Linked DNA regions of Xenopus tropicalis. The protein of the gene in region 2 purifies or fractionates together with the protein of the main gene of each other region. This does not show direct contact. Links are inferred from orthologs where the notes say so. Each region holds a gene or a part of one and is shown on either strand. Other genes may lie near its edges.

Region 1 (10,456 bases), about 34 Mb from region 2:
ATGGAGGCTAGATCTGCAGTTATTTGGCAGTAACATTTGTAAAGAATATATCCTCATGTTTAATATGCGCCAAAATAGAAATGCTCATATTAACTTAACCACAATTTCCCAATATAAGCCCTGGTTTACTTTGAACACAGGTTTATATTTACCCTTTTAAGTATTGGACTTGTTTGGGGAACCAGTAGCATCATGTCACAAAGTTTCACACATTGGCAGTGCACTTCAGGTAAGCATAAAAAGCCGCAACAGTTAATATTAAAATTGATCAACCTTTATTTGCACATCTAAAAAACACAGCTTGAGGTCTTAATTGTTTTGTGACAGCGCACTTCCTCGTGAATATAGCATCATAGCACCTTTCATTCTCAGTCTCAATAGTAGTTGTGAGAATAAAGGCAAATTGTGATGAAATACACAATATTTGCTTTCTGCTTTTTTTCTATTGGTTTGATATGGAGGTACATGATTGTATTCTCCATCAGTCCCAGTAAGTATTCAAATTAAAGATGTTTCCTGCCTATATTATTAAAATATCCAATTGTAATTACTTCCTGGTAAATAAAATTCAGGAACTGTGAATACCTTTTTTCCCCCCAATCCTGTACTGCAAACATATATGTTTGGGTTGAAGTTAAAGCTTTAAGGATCAGTGTTGCATGAAATAGCATTAGGAACCAACCACATTAATGTTCTTAGTTAGTGTCCATGGCACCACAGTACCAGCCCTGCAAAATCCCTCAGCATGCTGTAACTGGGCCAGGCAACAGGAAAGGACATTCTATAGAGCGTAATCACTTACTGTTTAAAATAATTCTCTGGTCTTTTACAATAGTGAGAGAATAAAGGGAAGAGATTCCGTGACATATCAAACTGTAGCTGTGCTGCTCCCCCTTCGTTGAAATGATTTGCCAGGATTATCTAAGAAAAATAAAGCTCAATAAATGAGTTGTGCCTATACAGTACAAATATGTTTCAGCTGAAATGAGTACTAACATCCTGATAAATGAACAGATCCAACTTCTCAGCAAGCATCTGCCAGACAGTTTTAAACAAAGCATGACATAGCTGCTGCTCCATTTGCAAGAGGCGGTCTCTCAGTGCCAGAAGCATTGGGCAGGCTGTGCTAGACAGGGACATGACAGCTTGTTCTGATTGTGAAGGCAGTGACAGCCACCTGCAACAACCAATAACATTTTGGTCAGTTTAGCAACAACCTGCAGCAATCATTTTCCTTATCAGATTTAAAAATGTATTTACATGCTATTGATAAAAAAGAATACAGATAGATATGGTAATATCTATAGCTAATTGATTTTTTGTTGACATGGCTTTTGCAGGTCACTTAACATGCTTATGTTACCAGACATACTGTAGATTGTAATACCTACAAAGCAGGGGTATCACAGTGCCTGAATAATTTTTTGGGTACTGCTTTGTAATAACTTCTTGTAACACTGCAATGGTCAATGCACAAACACTTGTATTTACTAAAGGACAAAGGTATTTGAAAATTTTTAACAAAAAAAAAAATGAATTGGGGGGAACAGAAATTTTCCAGGTGATTTGATTTCTTATGGTTTATGAACTGAGTCTTAAAAATGCATATTTTTTTTTAGTTTTGCCAGTAAGAATTAAAATTTTTGCTCTGCCATATTAGTGGTAGAATATTAGAAAGTGCAGATTAGAATCTGAAGGTTTTACGTTTACCTTTCTTTTTTGTACATTCTTGCAGCCTCCTTGACCTCTTTAAATACATGTTCTACCTGACGAGATAGCATGTCATTTTTTAGACGCTCCAGAAGGTTGATCAGGTCATCGAAGACAGATATTTCCATGGAAGCCAGCTGCCCAAGCTGTAGCTTACTGCTGGCATTGAGATCTGTGCAAATCTCCAGAGCAGCCTGTTGAAGCTGTAAAAAAAACTGGAAACACAGAAGGAAAGTTAGGGCAAGGGCACAACTAAATTTTGAGCTATGGAAGTTAGCACTGCATTCTGATAAGTGACAAAGGAACAATAATGCAGACAAGCAATGGTCACACAAGTCTAGCTACATTGTCTTGGTGTTTTAATGCCTAAAGCAGACTACATATAACTGTTACCCCTCCATCTCATCTCTCCAAGATGTGTGGATAGGAGGAATAAAAGACTGAGTATGCCCCAGTGGCGGCAATTAATAGTATGGGTCTTACTTACAACATTGTCAGCCCAATCTCCAAGAACTGTTGCAATGTAGTTGACAGCATTGAGTATTGCACAATATCTGAAGCCCAGGGGATCTCTGCTCTCTTCCTTCATCACTTGTGTTAAACGTATCCTGAAGTCATCAACTAAGTCCTTTTGCAGCTCCAGGAATTTTAGCTTTCTGGATGCTGTGGGCAAATTTCTGTACCTGTCTAAAAAAAACACAAGCTCATACAACCATCAACATTATAATAAGTGGGGCCACCAGAGGAACTATGGGTAGTTGCATGTTAAAAGTCTGAATACATAGTAGCAATGCTCAAGGATCTCATTTATTTCATATGCCACATCTATGTTATTAGAATTAGATTCCATTCACATGAACAGGTTGCAAGAGAGCTTATTTGAGTTTTTTTGGCTCATGTGCTATAAGCCTTATAGTTAAATGAACAAAGTAGCATTTGGTCACTGGGTGATAAATTAATATCTGTTATAGTGGGCTCTCCTAGCATGAAAAGAAGTAGACTGAGGTAGCACTGTTTGGGACAGCCTTTGAGTTACCTGTGATAACAAGTAGGAGAGTCATAAATGTTTCAGCAGAATCTGGAACCTTCATTTCATCCACATCAGATATATCTTTATATTGTGAGGTCCAGGCAGCCTCAGCAGACAGCATGGAATCCATCTTTTCTAGAGCCACTAGAAAAACATTGATGCAACAAACACATTTTAAACTTTTGAAAAGATGATACTCAATGCAAACGTTTTGTCGCCCTTGCTAAATAACATTTAATTCATTTTACAAGTCAAAAGTAGGAAACAACTGCAGGAGTTACATTTAATTTCACCAAAAGAAAATACCGTATATACTCGAGTATAAGCCGAAAAATGTGCTTAAAAACTCATGCTTGGCTTATACTCGAGTATATAGGCTGTGCTGGCATTCGGCTCGCACGCCGAATAGTTTCACAAGAGGTGCCTCTTTCCCGTATTCATTAGTGATTTGCTGGCACAGCTGCACAGCTCACCCACTGAACGCCAGATTGATCTATTACAGTGCATTTAAGAATGAGCATGTATCAAGCTGACTGTATATAATGAAATGGAAACCTGCCATAAGCGTACTTACATTGTATTTGTAAGGTGAGCATCATGGTCTTTATTTTATGCGTTTGTGATCACAAATCTAGTTGAAAGAAATATAACTTAACTAATTTTTTGTTCTGCAATATCAAGCCATGGCTCTGTTTGTCTGAGGCTGCATTGGTCTAAGTAGAGCCATATTTTCTTGTCTGGGAACTTTTTTTTGTATATCCAAGTACACACTAACAAGCATGGTAGCTGACTGTCAATGCACACAGGGGGTGAAATTCAGGGCATACTAAAACTCAGGGCAGAGGGCAGCAGATCACACACCAGTGGAGAAAACACCTCCTAGCCTTAGCCATCATAACTGGTACAAATTGTACACAATCAAATTACCTTGCCTTGAGGCAAACAGCTCCATCACAGGGAATCAGTAGCCAATGTCATTAATATTATTATTTGCTGATATGCAGATAATGGCAGAGTTAATTTGCACGTGCGTGCCGAATGCCAGGGCAATTCCATGTATAACAATCCAGGAACTCATAGCCACAGTAGCTGCTGCATTTCCCACCCTAGGCTTATACTCGAGTCAATACGTTTTTACAGTTTTCTTAGGTAAAATTAGGTACCTCGGCTTATATTCGGATCGGCTTATACTCGAGTAGATACGGTAATTGTGGCATGTGCAACAGTTTGGACATCTTTTTAATTGTTCAGTGATAAATGCTGTTTTTGCAACATCTTTCACCCTAATTGGTTCATTAGGCCTTAATAACCATAGGAGTTGTTACCTGTGGACTTAATAAAATCTCTGAGACCCCAAACTTTGGGCTGTCACTCGGCAATTACAGGCTCCTTTAGCAACTACGCGACGATCTGAAAATAAAGCCAATTGATGCCTACAAAGCAGGAGAGGGATATATAAAAATGCTCCAGCTTGCAAAGCATTGGAAGTCAATGCAATATGTGAAAACTTTCAGAAAAACAAACCCTCATATGGGTACAAAAGACTAGCAGGAAGAATTGGCTGACACAGCAGTCATGTTACACAGTCAACAGGAGGAAGCCTTACAAGCAACCTAATCACAGACATCAATGTCTGAGGCATGTAAAACAGCATCTAGACAAACCAGAGTGCTTTTGGCAAAAAGTGCAGGGACTGATGAAGTCCAAATTCAACTCTTTGGCTGAAGCTAAAATGGGGCTGGATCCTACACCAAGACAATGATCCTAAACATACCTGACAAGCCACAATAATGAGAAAAGCAAGCTGAAGGATTTGGGATTGCTCTCACAGTACCCTGACTCAAACATCATTAAAAATCTGTGGTTAGATCTTAAACAGTTAAAAATGACAAATTATCTGAATGGAAAGTGGTAAAAATCCATACAACTAAATGTGAAATATTTAAAGATAGATGCAAAAGCCATTAACCAGCTGTTATCTGAGCCAAAGGGGGTGTTAATAAAGCATAGGAACAAAGAGAATAGTATGTAAGGCACATACAAAAGTTTGGACACCCTTGTGCCAACATTTAACATTAATGAAATAAAATATATGCGCATTAACATTTGCAGGGGGTTTTTTTTGTATCATACATTTTTCAATATGGGATAGGGAGGAGGGGTACACAGAAAGAATAAAAGTTCACATTTAACTAATGGATATATTAATCAGAATTTAATTGTGCTTATAAGATGGTCACTATTAACAGTTAATTAAAAGTCTTAGCGTTAAAGGAGAAGGAAAGGTAAAAACTAAGTAAGTTTTATCAGAAAGGTCTATGTAAATACAGCCATAAGCACTCACAGAAACACTGCAGTCCTTTCTCAAAAGAAACAGGTTTTGTTGTCTTTGTTTTCCTGTGCCAGAGACACGCAGCTCTCCTCTCTCCTGCTCCCCCCTCCCTCAAGAATACTAAGAACTCACTCGCCCCCTCCTTAGGAATGTGGATCTGAGCCAATCAGCTTCCTCATAGTCTTACAAACTGCGTATGTACACCGATCTTGGTATTAGTTCAGGACCAAGGCATTATGGGTACTTTCTTTACAGAGCTCAGCATTTTTTTTTTCCTATGAGGCTTCTGATCATCTGAACAGGAGAAATATGGGGAGACATAAGGGCACTATTGAGACAACTGAAGGTATGCCTGCAGCTTGAGATTAACTCTTTATTAGCCTTTCATTCTCCTTTAAGAACGCAAAATGACAGGTTCAGGCGCAAAAAAATCAATTAGAAATAGTCACAACTAATGCAAAGCATTCTTACATTTTCTCTCCACTGTCAGCCATCTTTGAAAACAGGTTTCTTCAGATAGAATGTGCATGCAGTTTGGGAGATTGCTGGGATAACCATGTGATGTGTAAAGTTCTCTCTGAAACAAAAGTACTTCATCCACAAGGTGACAAAACAGAATGTCATCATATAGCAGTAACGGGATGTCCACTGCAAGCTTCTCCAGCACCAGCATGACTAAACCACGCGTGAACTCCAGCTGGGGAATAATCAGATACACAAACTGCTGTTAAATTGACTATATGGATTACAGGAACAATGTAATCTCTCTCCTTTTAAACTGAACTACTCATATGCAGTGTTTAAGTAGTATATAGATCTTTACTTCAACTATCTGCTTTGTATCTGTGTGTATTGTGAAATATTAGTAATCACAAGAGAAGTCATCCATCAAATCATATGGGATCCAGGGACGAAATATTCACAAAGGCTTATTATTATCAATTAATTAGTGCAATACTACTACACTGGTATGTCATTTAAAGATTATAAAATGCTCATATTTTTGCAAGATTCCCTCTTTCCATTTGAATGCTAACTTTCCTCTACATGGGTCTACTCAATATTCTGTAACCCAAAGCCACCCAACCAAGTTATGAACTACATGCAATATGCTATGTATAATCAGTATAAAGCAGAATTAAATTAAAAAAATTGTACTTCATTGACTTATAAGTACAGGTATCGGACCCCTTATCCGGAAACCCGTTATCCAGAAAGCTCCGAATTACGGAAAGGCTGTCTCCCATAGACTCCATTTTAATCAAATAATTCAGAATTTTAAAACTGATTTCCTTTTTCTATGTAGAAATAAAACAGTACCTTGTAATTGATCCCAACTAAGATATAAATAATCCTTATTGGATGCAAAACAATCCTATTAGGTTTAATTAATGTTTTATTGATTTTTTAGTGGACTTAAGGTATTAAGATCCAAATTACGGAAAGACCCCTTATCCGGAATACCCTTGGTCCCGAGCATTCTGGATAATGGGTCCTACACCTGTACTTGTAAGATGTATTAAATATGGACGTGTTACTACCCTGTTTGATTTAATATAGTTTTGTACTGAAGCTTAGTGATATGTATTCATTAGTCCCTATGTTCAACTTTGTGGTGTATGTGATTAATTTAATTCCCTTAATGCCTAAATAGATCAATGTACAGTGGCTATATCTCTGTAACCTCTTACATGTGCGTTCACAGAAGACCCAGATTTTGTCAGAATGGGCTGAATTCTTTCCTGTAAAAACTTAGTATGGTTTCCAATCCACATGAGCACTTGAGTCAGGTACCACTCAGGCTAAAATACAAAAAAAACACAACATGCTACGTTATAATAATGTTATTTTTATAAAGCAATAACACAGGCAGCTGTGAAAGGTCACATGCATAGGCAAGGTTGACACTGAATGTTCTTCAATTCTACACTGAGGAATGAGAAGTAGAGATGTCCCACTTGCATCACACCTGCTGTCACTGAACTGCAAGACCCCTAATGGTAACCACTTTGTAAATACAAAAGTAAGTAATTTCCCAAAACTGCGTGGAGCAGCTTTTATTACAGGGGGGCCAAGCAAGATCAAGAGATAATATTTACAGAAGCATCATTTTAGTGCATCTTATCTGTCCAAACCTACATCATGTCTATAAATATATTGTGTATTCACAAACAAAAGACACCAGACAGAAGTCCTTCAGTCAACATCAAAACTGAATTATCAGCAAATAAAATATATCTTACATCACCCCAAATGGATCCAAACTGGAAAGGTTCTTTGCTAAGGACAGACTAAAGACTGCTGGCAGCAGTTAAATTTAAAGAATACCAAATTAAGCTCAGTCAAAGGCAGCTGTGGCTGTTGGGCCTGGCAACAAGTTAATAGCTAGTTATCCCCTTTAAAACTATGCACACCAGAGACCTATAAGCAAGAAACAACATCATATATAAATTGATTTCCCATTTGCGCACGTTCAATTCCGATTACAGAAAAAGGAATCAGTGATTTAGTAGGCAGTACAGCCAGATTCATTATGCTTCCAAAAGAAGGACTAGAGCTAATGTAATACAAATTGAAACATTTGCACCAGGTACAGTAACCCCAAGCAACCAATAATAAGGTTGCATTTACTGGTCATCTACTAAAAAGCAAATGGTTGCTGTGGATCACCAAATGTGATTTTTATTACATGAACCTATAAGTCTGTCACCATCTGAAAGTAGCAGTGGGTAAAGGAGCCCTTTGGTGGAAGAGCATTACACCAGCCAGTGCTAGACCTCTTAGCCATGTCCTTTAAAACATTTTCTTTTCGATGTTACTGGTCCTTTAAGGCCAAATTTGGCAAATTAAGCACTTCTGTATTCCTCATGTGTTCAACTCTTATCCCCTTTTGGCTGCCTAAAAATAAAAGCTGTACTAGGAAGAGCATGATATATAACCAGGGTACCAGAGGAGCAGTCCTTTTGCTGTCATGGGACTGCAGCACCTGCATGATTAAAGGATAGCCCTATAACAAAAGTACATTCAAGACATCTCAGAGCATATTTATAAACCAGCGTATTTATTTTTTATAATTTAACAGATATGGTAAAGTCCATTGAAGTGTACAGGAAAAGAGAGGTTTCCCTAAGCCTAAAAACATAATACCAAGTTGTCCATCTCAATTTATTCCACAGAATTTTTAATTCTACTAATCATCCTCAATCAATTTTTTGTTTCAACACAATTTCTCCGGATTTTTCATATATTATGAAGCCCCCTTTAGTTGCCCTTTACAGATTAAACCTTCGACTACTATAGCGGCTAATTTAAAAAATCTTGGATTCGTAAATCTTTTCTGATACCATTATTTAAGCACTTTAACATAATTTACCTATTACATTTCTACAAAGTTTTATCATATGAAGTAATATAAAGATATGCTAGTTTCTACACAAGCTTACTGGACTTATTTGCCTGTTTCTATGCATCTCAGAGCTGTATATGGAAGTAATAAGTACATTTCTTAAACATTTCTTTTACCAGTGATGCACAACACAGGTCATGTAATAGTTGCTGAACTACAGTTCTCAAAATATCCAGCAGAAATTGTAAGGCTGCAGGGTGAACTGAGTGTAACAGCACTTTTATGCATCTAAATTCCTTTGGATAAAGCATTACTCTAGGCCAGTGCTGTCCAACTGGCGGTCCGCGACCCCCCTCTGTGTGGCCCCCCACCTGTCTGGCTGCTTTGATGGCTTACTCTTGTGTAAACTTTAAATGGTATCAGTACTGTGATTAACTGCCCCCCCCCCCCCCTGCATGGTTCTCACCTCAGATTCAGGCTGTAATCAGGCTGTATTGTTTAAATATGTAATCCCCTGTGTTGTTCACACCTTTTAATCTCTGCATTGTTCACCCCCTGCAGTGTTCACACCTCAGGCTCAGGCTGTAATTACCCCCATTGTTCCCCTGTTCACACCTCAGGAGCAGTAGGCACACACAGGCAGGGTAGGGTAGGCAGAGTATGGCACACAGGCAGGGTAGGGCAAGCAGAGTATGGCACACAGGCAGGGTAGGGCAGGCAGAGTATGGCACACACAGGCAGGGTAGGGAAGGCAGGGTATGGCACACACAAAGGCAGGGTAGGGTAGGCAGAGTATGGCACACAGGCAGGGTAGGGCAGGCAGAGTATGGCACACAGGCAGGGTAGGGCAGGCAGAGTATGGCAGGTTTTTGCTGTACTACAACCATTAATATGGGTATGGTCATGTGATAACATGGGTGTGGTTTCAAGTGGGTGCGGTTTCAAAAAGGGGAGTGGTCAAAACTGGCATCCATTATCGGCCCTCCACCACGTAGGTCGGAAAAATTCCGGCCCTCGGTACAACAGAAGTTGGACAGCACTGCTCTAGGCAATAAACATATCACTTTTGTTAGCTAAATAAAAAAGGTTCTTGTGTACATAACCTGCTTAATCTAGAATTTGATTTAATAAACTTAATACAAATTATGCACTAATCAGTGCCAAAACCACAGGATTAATTACAGTGTGTTTGCAGAACTAAAAAAACAAATTCTTACCTTGCTTAAGACATTGGTTTGTTTGTTGCCTGTAAAATGATAGCGGAACCTCTTCTGCAGAGGGGAAAGCATGATCTGTATGGGAAGCATTATAGGAGGTAGTGCAGGAAGGGAGTATTTCTCTGGCATCTCTTTAGGTTTTGTAATTAATTCATCGCTAGGTATCAGTATTAAGAATTTAACAGTGATTGCTGGTAACAAATTATCACAGGGAAAATATATACTAAAGATACACACAAGTTTTCAGTCTTTGGAGTATTGTTTTAGATCTTTCAAATAGGGCCCATTACCAACATGAGGAAAAGGTGCAGAATGCTTATATGCAATTTCTTTGCCCTCTCTGCATGAAGCTCAAGGAAATTGAACCCTGATGTTACATCTGATTAGGTGAGGCAAGAAGTACAGGACTTGGCTGCTTTGCACTCCCCTTCTTCATATTCTCTACAATGGTGCAAGACACAAGAACTATCTTTATTGTGTGCTGATGGAGCAGTTTTGACATAGCAATTGTGTCTGTTAGTAAATGAGCCCTAATATGTTTTCAAAAGTTTAATACCCACAGAAACAAAGCAACAGTCAAATAACACCAATGCATTGTGTACGTGACATTCCATGCACTAAGCTACTAGGAAATGCCCTAACCTGTAAACAAAACAGGGATTGTTTGTTCATATATTGCAACATATTCACACTGACCAACTACTTCAAAGTCGTGCCGGTCTGGCCACTGCTACACTTACTTTTATCTCATTCATTAAGAATTCTGCAGCTTCAATATACATTTAACAAAGGAACTGAGTGTCATCTTCAACTTGCTTGCA
Region 2 (11,036 bases):
CCACCTCCAAAGCATGTAAAAAGTGTCCACAATCTGCTCAGTGCTTTACCCACCATTTAGAACTATTCCACAACCCAACTTCATGCCATTGAATTAGGTCCACACCTAGTATTGAAATTGCCAATGATCCTTTGTACTGTAGCTAGTTGAGCAGGTTACCCTTTAATGACATGGAGCTGGTTTATACAATTGCAGTACAGAAGGAGATATCATTTGGACCGTGCATGCTTTGGCTTATTGCTGCTATGGGTTATCTTGGCAACCAGTATGAACAGGCAATCCGTTTTATGTCAGTAACCAATAATAACTTTGCACTTAGTCTTTCAGCAAAAGGCACTTTAGACTATAAGAAATACATAGTCAACCTAGTTATTGCTTCATATTTCACTGTGTTTGTATTCCTGATCCCCAAACAAAAACTGCTGCTTTAAAATCATCATTAGAATCTCTTTTTTTTTAATTCAAGGGGAAGCAGTGTAATGTTAACTGACTTAACCATTTATTTGATTCTGTCATTCCTTAATTATATTAGCTGTGTTACCAACAAATTACTTTGGTTATGAACCATAAAATCACTGAGGTGCGTCACTCTGCGACTCCATTTTTGTTCAGCCTACCTGTTTGCATATGGTCAGAACTGTATCAGTTCAATAAGATCATTTTCTCCAGGAATGACTTTCTATACTGAAGGGATTTGGCTCCTCTCCTGCGCCAGAGAACAGTGCTCCATCAGTGTATCTGAGTTGGGTGACCAGGGTATCAGTTCTTTTGACTTCCAGAACTTAAGAACTCATCATACGCTGCCAGGGGTTAATGACTGTATTTGCTAGGTCCTGTATAATAGAACACAGTGTGTTTAAAATGTGCATGCACAGTCTACAAATCTTTTAACCTCAGTTTGATGATATTCTGCCTATATAATAATAAAATGAGGATGCATTTCTGTTTGTGCTGGGACAGAATCCGGAGAGAGTGTAATGCAACAGCTGTGAGAATACTGTAAATTACATTGTCATTTCCACATTGCTTCTTCAGTCTGTTTCCGTTCTGCTGTTTGCCATTATTTAATAAAGTTGTTTGTCTCTTCACAAAGACTGTGTATAAGCATTTTTTTTCAATTCAATTTTTATTTGTTTTTATCAAGAACGTTGTAGAGGGGGTACAGAAAGAAGAAGGGGAAATAGAGGGCAAATATAGTTCCATAACAGAAAAAATGAGAGCATATATACATAAACCTAGCATTTTTTATTTACCTTGTGCCAGTGTGGTGTATGAAAATAGATACGGCTACCATCACTAACTCACATGGCCCTCTGGGACATTAGAATGTCATTTGGGGCTTCCTCTATGTTTTATTTCTTTGGAATCTCCACAGATCTGAAACTGATTGATTGTTGGACACATCCCCAAGCTGTGTAGCCCCATTCCACCTGTTCTGCTCCCTCCTGTGATGACTCCTGAAAGGAGGCAGGACTCTGCTACTAGGACTTGCTACTGCAGCTTAAAGGGGGTGAGGGGCAAAACCAAAGCATGTGAAAGAGCTGAATCTGTGCAAAGTTTGCTTTTGGTTTAGTAATCTTTTGCAACTAATCAACAGGTAGCCTTCACAAACATCTTAGTGGTTGCTATTGATTACTAGAGCTGGACAAATCTAGCACCTCTTCATCAAAAAACCCCAAAACTAGGGTAGGACTTTGGCCCATTCTCCTTTTTTTCCTCCAATGTAAGGCTAGCAGATCTTATGAAAAAGGGGTGCTTCTATAATGTCTGACTAGACTTAATGTATTTAATGTTAATAAAATCGGTGAAGCCCAGCAACAGCACTGCTGCTTCTAGAAAGTCTGACTAGACTTCATGCATTTAATATTAATGAAATTAGTGCATCCCAGCAACAGCACTGCTGCTAAGCCCTTATAAGAATAGAATACAACGGTCTTTGACTACTCACAGCAATCAAACACACTCTGAGGAAATGCTATACTCGTTTTCCTTGATAAAAGTGTCAGGTTGTTAAGCACTGACAGGAATTTAAGAGCAGTGACTCCCCATGGATGACCTAATTTGATATTTAATAAATCAGCACCGATACCTTTATACATGTGGGACTATTCACAAAGTCTTCTTTCCAGTCTGACTGTTAGGCTCTTCTGGGGTTTGATCTCTGGACCTCCTGATTGTTGGCTAATCTCCCTAACTTAGTCTTTGCCTGCTCCGTCCCATCCTATACGACTGTCAGTACTTTAACAGCAATATATATGAATAAACCTTGTCTGCGCTTAAGGATAAGTAGAAGGAGAACCGTATAAGTGAAAGTGAAGAGGGAAAAAAAAAAAATATTTAAACGTGGTAAAGAGTGATCTCTATATTATCAATTAAATCAATGTGAACTAGGTGTGTTGATTAGCTGCCCTCCTCCAAACTAATCCCAAAGTGCACAAATATTACTCTAAAAGAGTTGGCGCTCAAACAAACCACCAAGTGAAATAAAATCAACCAATCGATATTTATTGCACAGTGAATCAATAAATTAAAAATTACAATTTATCAATATATACACAGAACAATCAATATACATAAAATAGGAAACAATTCTAATACATAGAATAATAAAGCACCAATCATAGGTTCAATTAAAAACAATAGATGAAATAGTAAAATTGCTAGAATGAATCCAATCAAAATTCTTAATTCATTAGAGGATGAAATCAGCACAAAATTCTTAATTCATTAGAGGATAAATCATATAAATTGGAGAAACCTGGGGAGGAAAACCTATATTAAAAAGCATGTAGGGAACAATCAATTAGATATACAGCAAAGTTAAGTAGGAATAAATGTTACATGATATCCAAACATCCAAATAAATAATGATAACACCGGAGGGGTCTAACCCCTAACGGGCCCCTCACTTAGTGGAGAGGGCAGCACTACTTATAGTACTCCCTTCAGACCGATACACACACCCCACTTAGCAAAGAGTATAAGCATACGTATCAGTATAAAGTATCCCAGGAAAGTGCAAGTGCTACACAAGACACTTCTACAGATTAGGTATATAGCCTTGTGGAGAGTTAGTCCCACACGAACTTAATGCACAGAAATAAAGAAGCCCCTTGTCCCGGCCGGGAACTTACTCGGGTATAGACAAAGGGAGGAACAGGCTCCTTGAAGCGGCTGGACGCCGTTCTCCTTCCTCCGGTGACGTCACCGGTACGAGCCGAATCCCAAAGTACGGGTCCTCCCTAGTGTCAAAAAGGTCCGACGCGTTGGACACGCCCCTGCCTTAAAGACTCTACCTCTACGTATTCCTTTACAGAATTATTTGCTAACACTGACCCTGGATGGGTAGCTTTCTTTCACCTGCTGCAGCACCACCTTCGCAGTGCTCCTAGGTAAGTGATGCCCTGGATTGGCACAGGTACAATAAACAGTCCAACAGAGACAAAACAGCACAGGCATTTGCCCCCTCCCACACTTAATAGACTCTGGAATGTGATGCCAAGCCAAGGGCAGCAAGTCACTAAAAAGTCATAATCATAAAATGCACTATGTTTGCCCAGGATCAGTAACTCATAGCAACCAATCAGCAGGTAGATGCACTGGTCAGCTGTTTAAAAGCAAACATCTTATTGGTTGCTATAGGTTACTGCTACAGGAAAAAAGTTGTGCCTTTTAATACATATGTGGGTATGAACACTGTTATAGGAATAGTTCAGTGTAAAAATTAAACTGGGAAAAATAGACTGTGCAAAATATAAAATATTTCCAATATAATTAGGCAAAAATGTAATCTATAAAGGCTGGAGTAAGCATATGTCTAACATAATAGCCAGAACCTGACTTCCTGCTTTCAGCTGTCTAACCTCTTAGTTAGTCAGTGACTTTAGGGGGGCCCACATAGGACATAACTGTTCAGTTAGTTTGTGAGCAGGCAGGTCAGATTCAAATGCAAATTAACTGAACAGTTATGTCCTATATGGCCCACTCAGGTCACTGATTGGTTATTGATTGCTAACAGCTTAGAGCTGTTCTGGCTATTATGTTAGACATCTGCCCACTCCATTTTCATTTTTACACTGAACTGTTCCTTTAAGATAGTCACAAGGAAAATTATAGACTAACCAGGCAATTATTTTAAACAAAGGAGCACCGGGGGAAGAGGAAAAGGTAAAGTACTGCATGGCAGGGCAGAAGCGATAAGAGGTGGGTTGGGAACCATACAAAATAACCCCAACATTATTTAATTTACTTGTGCCAAGAATAACTTTCTTCAGTTTTAGAATAATACAGCAGTGAATCATCAAGCAGCATTTACTTTTCTGGTCTTTAAAATTAATTATCTGATTGGTTACTAGGGGTATTTTTGTAATGAAAAAATGCAGAAAGTTGGCCAGTCATGTTTGTGCCCAGATGTGCAGCTTTCAGCCCCAGAAACATCCCTCTCAAAAGGGAGTAAAATAGATGATAGGTTCGGGACAGGTAATATTCTGAGCCCCAGATGTTGCAGAAAAACAACCACCAAAATTCTGTCCTCCCTTATCTGAACCACTGGTGGGAGCTGAGGGTTGTAACTATAGATCACTGAAGTACCATGGGCTCATGCAAAGCCTCCTATAGTTCTCCTTTCCACAGCCACATACTGCTGCCCTTACTGTACTGTACCCTTTCCACTCATACCCCGAAATATCTATTATTTTTATTATTAACAAGCATTTATAAAGCTCCAACATATTCTGTGTTTATGTACAGCAAAAAAGGGTCTCTAATGTCATTCAGCAGGAAACCCCATAGTCCAGTCTAAGCCTGTTTACATTTGAAGTTGACTGTTCACTTGCTTTAAGGGTGAAGACACACAGAGCTACTTAGTAGCAGCTAATTGTCACAGCTACTAAACGCCAGAAAATACCCTGACATAGACAATACTGAGAATTACCTCTGCCACATAGAGACAATTAACAGTAAATGATCAGCATTGTCTATTTCTGTAGCCGTGACAAGTAGCTGCTACTAGTAGCTCAGTGTGTCTTCACCCTAACACCCCTTTGAACTGAGCAGAACGTTTCTTATTGTGTGCGTTTTCCCAAAAGCACCTCTAGATGTCTCTGTGCCCCCTCATCGCTGTCCATACGAGCAAAGAAATTACCTCTCCATACAGCAGATGGCGCAAAGGTTTATTTTTGTCTTAGTCAGAGTCATCGGTGCATGGTATTTTGTCCCATTCCGCGCACCGTTGTTAAGCCTGTCGCGATGGCAGATTCGCAGGATGTCCACGTCCGAATTTGTCACCAGGAAATCGTTAAATATGACCTGGAGATCAAAGCGCTGATCCAGGTAACGCAGTGGGGTGCTGAAGGGGTGATCGCCATTAATAATACTGACTTTCTACATGCAGGAGGCAGTAGGGAATTCAGCTTACCATTAAGGGTCCGAGTTTGTAATATTCCCTATGCAACGCCACCTAGCGGCAGGCCGAGCTTACGTACCAGTTCCGAAGACTCCAAACTCAATGGTTTATGTTTGAATGCGGACTGGTGTAGCGTTACCGGCATGTACTGATAGTTCCCTACGGTCACAGCCTACTGTATGGTTTGGTTAACAGAGCCTGGCAGTTTTATTTTCCTAAATTATTACATGGGCTTCCTGCTACATGTTCCATGTACTGCACCCTAACAGTTATGTAGGTATAATACATTTAACTGGCTGATAACTGAAATAGCTATAATGCTTTCCCAGCTAATGAGCAGTGCTGCTATCAGTACTCATAGGCTCTATACTACTGAGTTAGCAGGGGGCCTCAAGTTTAACCCTCAAGTTTAACCCTTCTGTCATCTGGGCCATTATGAACCAGAATTAACACTGACATTAGTTGTTACCAGTGGCATAAAATAAGGTCAGGCTTCCAAGCAAAAGACTTTTCCGGGCCCTCACATGTTGGGGTGAGAGCCACTTACACCCTCGGCCACATAGTGACCACCACCTTCGCCTCCATGCTTGCAGAGCCAGAAGTAGCTGTAACCATACAGCAGGCCATCTGGATATCTGTATGCTAGTTAGCCAGTGAATGTTAGTATATCTTAACCAAAATGTCAAAATATCAGCACCCAGTAATCAAGTCTTTGTCACCAGTAATATCTTTGTATAGAATAACTTCCTAAAGCTGATACCTCAAGAGAACTGAATCCAAGTGATTTTGGTCACACTTATGGCACACCAAGCCTGGGATTCAAAATAGGCCCTGGCACTTCAAGTACACAATGTCCCAAACAGTGTCTGTCTATGGCTTCTTACAGCAGCCCCTCTGGCATTTGCCAGAATCCACAGATTGCCAATCTGGGCTTTTTGCACACCCAACCACAATTTATTATGCCTTGACTACACCCACTTACAACCCAACTTTATCCTTGGCTGGAGGCTGGTGGTTACTACCAGCATATTAACTGTCATTTTTTAATGACGTTTGCTAGGCATCTCATGTGCCACTATGTCATTTCAGTTTGGGAACAGCACAGCAGATGGTACTTTCTCATTGGATCCTTATCCCCCTAGCTCTTCTGTATTGTATGTAGACGTTTTAAAATGATTTGTCTTTTATAGGACATCAGAGAATGCCCTGGTCCTCTAAGCACCCTAAATGATTTCAATGCTCAAGTCAAGGAAAAATTCCACCTGCTGAGGCTGAGAATACAGGTACATTGTGTAATTTAGTAAAGACATTGCATTTTTGAGGGAAAAACTGGCTAGGTAATTAGAAATTCTTAACCACAAGAGAGGTTGATAATAAGTAATTGGGGCCTCTGCCCTATGATTAAACTATATTTTAAAACATTAAAAGTCCATTTACTGCCTATAACAGGGATCCCCAACCTTTTTTACCCGTGAGACACACTCAAATGTAAAAAGAATTGGCAACACAAGCATGAAAAATGTTCCTGGGGTGCCAAATAATGGCTATAATAGGCTATTTGGTAGCCCCTATGTGGACTGGCAGCCTACAGAGGCTTTGTTTGGCATTATATTGGGTTTTTATGCAACCCAAACTTGCTACCAAGCCAGGAATTTAAAAATAAGCCCTTGCTTTGAGGCCACTGGGAGCAACATCCAATTGTTTGGGGAGCAACATGTTGCTCATGAACCACTGTTTGGGAATCACTGGCCCATAATATTGGGAGCCCTCAAAGCAAAGCATATTATTCGCTCAGAGTTTTTTTCTAAGCACTTTTGCAAAGTACATTTTTTCTACTTTCTCAGTTATTAGAAGTTATTTGAAGTGCTGATTATTTTAGGCCAATGGGCTAAAAGTGGCTAAAAATGAATTTCCTGAGAAAAGAAACATTTTAAGGTGTTGCTCTCCCTAGAACTGATCACAGAAACACCAGAGACTCCACTTTCTAAGCAGAGCATCATTACAAAATGTTTCTTATCTCAGGCAATTCATTTTTAGCCAACAGTAGCCAGTCACAGTAGCCAGCCAGCTGAAATATCCAGCAGGTGGCGCTGTTGTTTCAAATATGTTATATTAGCCCAGTGATCCCCAACCAGTGGCTCGGGGGCAACATGTTGCTCCCCAACCCCTTGGATGTTGCTCTCAGTGCCCCCAAACCAGGTAGTTATTTTTGAATTCCTGACTTGGGGGCAAGTTTTGGTTGAATAAAAACAAGATTTCCTACCAAATAAAGCCCCTGTAAGCTGATAGACTGCATAGAGGCTCCCTAATAGCCAATCACAGCCCTTATTTGGCACCTCCGTTAACTTTTATGGTGCTTGTGTTGCTCTCCAAGTCTTTTTACATTCGACTGTGGCTCATGAGTAAGATAGGTTGGGGATCCCTGTATTAGCCATTTCAAAACAGCTAATCTCTTTAAAACTAAAATAAAAATAATTAAAAGTAGTTCTAAGAGTACTTTGCACAATTTTATAGTCATTTGTCTTGATGGATTACAGTACTTGTTTACTTGCTTGGATTTACAAAAAAAAAAAAACATTTTTGCATGAATCATTGCTCATCACCAAAAGTGATCACCTTTAAAGTCATCCAGGTAATAGTTTTCTAAACCTATAATTGGTGATATACTTCTTTGTTATTTTGGAAAAGGATTTTGAACAGTTGGCTAAGGAGCAGGATAAGGAATCTGACAAGCAAGCATTGCTGAAGGAGATGGAGTGCCACAAGAAACAGATGTTAAGGTGTGTATGGTCTGCTGCTTACATCTTGAGCTGTGCGAAAAATGGCCCCATAGCTTAATAAATAAATGTTATATAAAACAGGTGAAGAACTTTTCTTGCTTGCCTCTCAATATGTTTACAACACAAGGTTAATCAATATTGCTCTGTAGTTGTCCTACAAAGCTGTCCTGCAGTTGCTCATACATGTTTTGGCTGAGACATACTCTCTCTCTGCTTTCCCATTAGCCCACATGTTGCTGGGTGAATTCTAAGCTCCCCAAGGGAATTGTTGGTCAGTGACCAGTACTACACACAGTTCTACTTTAGTGAAAGGTGGCTTTGTGGTATTTTGCTGTGCTAATTAAGGCTGGGAATCTTTGTCAGAGACCCAACATCATGGGGAACAACCCCATGCCTACCTTCAGCACCTTGACCATGTTGTGCTGACTCTGAACTTTGCACCCCTTTCTCGGTAACTAGTATGAATGACTAGTGGCCCTATTTTAATGCTTCTTACAAATAGGGAGGTGGTGCTGGAATTTGTTACAGGTGAAAATAATTCAACCTATCTTTTAAAAATAATCTTTTAGATCATTATAATAATACAACCAGTGTATAATTTCAATCATCTACCATATCTGCCTTATATGAGGTTGCTCTTGTAAACTCTGCCAAATCTTATGCCTTTCATATTTGATTGTGTGTGCATTTTAATTTTTCTTAAGCAAAATTAACAACTGCTTTTCATCCATTGTGATGTTGATTTCAGCAACCAGACTGTGTGGCGAAAGGCAAACCTTTCATGCAAGCAAGCAATAGATAATGCAGAGAAGGATGAACTGCTCGATGGAGGAGACCCTACAAGGCAGAGGTACAGTGTTTTTGTTAAGAGGGTCATTCTGCAAGTCTATAGAAACTGCTTCTAGGGTGTTGATTTTGAAGACAGTTTAGACTGCTACAGACCACATAGCCATTTCACCCTTTCTTTCATTAACCCTTGTTAATCCCTTCCCTGGTCACTGTTGCTTGTATGGGATTTTCCAGAAAACCTCAAAAGCTCTGGAATAGAGAAATGCCAATTACTATAGTGTTTATGAAGTTTCTGAAAGTCTTAAACGCAAAAACAAAACAACAAGAATTTATTTTTAGAAAATACTTTAACTCAGTATCTATCAATTTCAAACTGAATCTTATTATGAATTCTCAAAATCAGGAAATTTCGACGCATTTGTTTACCGGTCACTCTTTGCGCATTCAGTTAGTATAACTTGTACTGCATCTAAATGTGATACAAGTTGTAGCCAACTCAATCTGTTCCCAACAGAAAAGTAGCAAAGGAAAACCTGGCACAGTCAACGAGCAACATCACCGAGAGCCTGATGGGTATCAGTCGAATGATGGCACAGCAAGTGGGGCAGAGTGAAGTAACCATGCAGACACTAGGTATGGAGGATCTGTATGCACGTTTCAGTGCCCATAAATGCACTTTTACCCCAGACTTGAAAATTGTCTTATTAGTAAGGATGGAGTGCTGCTCCTAAAGTTCCTCACCCTTTCCTCAATTGTGGCTAACACCAAACTCTGACAAACACACACAGTTCATTGTGCTCCCAATACACAAATGAAGGAATGCAGTTCAAGATATTGAGAGAGGTACTGATGGTATATTGTTATAATTCTTTCATTTTTTTCTATTGGTGGTCCAGTGTTTATTTCAGTTGTTGCAACTCTCACCCCTTATCCAGTTTCTTGTATTGGAGAACCAATCAGGGAAAGACAATCTGACACTGGTGGGACTAAGATCTGTGTGACATAATGGCTGAAACAGAAAACACTGCATCAATGGAAAAAAAATGTTGTTTTCACTCTGATTTAATTGAATAATTATAGTCATTTATAAGCATAATTGACATAGAAGTGATTCAGCTAGAAAAGGAGATTTATTGAGGTTAAAACTGAGTAATAAGGTAAATTGCAAAACTAAAAGCATTCCCTTTGTATGGGCAAAGTTTCATTCCAGGAAACGTGACCCACAAACAGTTACATCCAATCACCATGCAATCCATCTGCAGCCATACCTCCTCTGTTAAACTATCACAACACACAGATCCCTGGCCCTAACCCCTAATACACTCTCACCTCCAAACTCTAAGCTCCAGATCTAATACCAGCAGCAGTCTGAAGGGAGGACAACCCCCACTATTGCATCAGTGAACATGGTAATTACATTTTTTTTATAAAGAAGATTGTTGTCCTTTTTAACATAATTAAATAGAACAGAGTTAGAGTAAGTCATAATAGTTAGAAATTAATAAATAATGTAAGTAAAAATGCAAGTTTAATTATGTTATCATTTCTTTACATAAATAGTACTGTAAATGAAGAGGTCTGTATGGAGAAGCTGACAGGATGAGAGAGAAGGAAATATTAGCTTCTTTGCAAATACATAAGATAGTTACAGAGCACTTAATTATACTGGCTCATGGAAGTTTGTACAATTCTTATTTCTAAGGAAGAACTGCAGCAATTGTAATACCTGAAACCAGTCCAATACTTCCCATTATACTTAATGGGATTTCATCTGCAAATGTTATATAGAGAAAGCAGCATTATCTATTGATAATGACTAGTGTTCCACAGGCAGCAGGATTCCTAGTCTGGAGAATGACAAAATTAAGGTTCTACCTGAGGGGATTGTAGTGAGCAAAACACCTTGCGTGCCATTACCCTAAAGCACAAAGATGGGGTTATAAATTCCTGGGAGACAGTAGGAACAGGTATAGAAACAGACAGGTTTTGCAAGATTGTCACATGCTCTGTATATTTTCCCAATAGCCACGTCATCACGGACCATCCAGGAAGCCAATGAAGAG

The links. Proteins that work in one complex are often made in the same cells at the same time.
Region 1: the proteins of bnip1 (region 2) and rint1 purify together in Homo sapiens (co-immunoprecipitation; 3 studies listed by BioGRID and IntAct, counting the BioPlex papers as one, with this or other methods). This does not show direct contact. The link is inferred for Xenopus tropicalis from reciprocal best matches to the Homo sapiens genes BNIP1 and RINT1.

Annotation. Positions count from the first base shown.
Region 1 is NC_030679.2:77,080,363-77,090,818, forward strand, and holds part of rint1 (RAD50-interacting protein 1), read right to left. Parts: intron 9,793-10,456; coding exon 9,636-9,792; intron 6,875-9,635; coding exon 6,764-6,874; intron 5,770-6,763; coding exon 5,544-5,769; intron 2,885-5,543; coding exon 2,747-2,884; intron 2,398-2,746; coding exon 2,198-2,397; intron 1,926-2,197; coding exon 1,711-1,925; intron 1,178-1,710; coding exon 997-1,177; intron 922-996; coding exon 803-921; intron 1-802. UniProt on the Homo sapiens protein: Involved in regulation of membrane traffic between the Golgi and the endoplasmic reticulum (ER); the function is proposed to depend on its association in the NRZ complex which is believed to play a role in SNARE assembly at the ER.
Region 2 is NC_030679.2:43,441,312-43,452,347, reverse strand, and holds the start of bnip1 (vesicle transport protein SEC20), read left to right. Parts: upstream 1-5,217; 5' UTR 5,218-5,247; coding exon 5,248-5,331; intron 5,332-5,410; exon of another isoform or gene 5,411-5,647; coding exon of another isoform or gene 5,648-5,677; intron 5,678-6,594; coding exon 6,595-6,687; intron 6,688-8,092; coding exon 8,093-8,184; intron 8,185-8,932; coding exon 8,933-9,034; intron 9,035-9,487; coding exon 9,488-9,606; intron 9,607-10,998; coding exon 10,999-11,036. UniProt on the Homo sapiens protein: As part of a SNARE complex may be involved in endoplasmic reticulum membranes fusion and be required for the maintenance of endoplasmic reticulum organization. Also plays a role in apoptosis.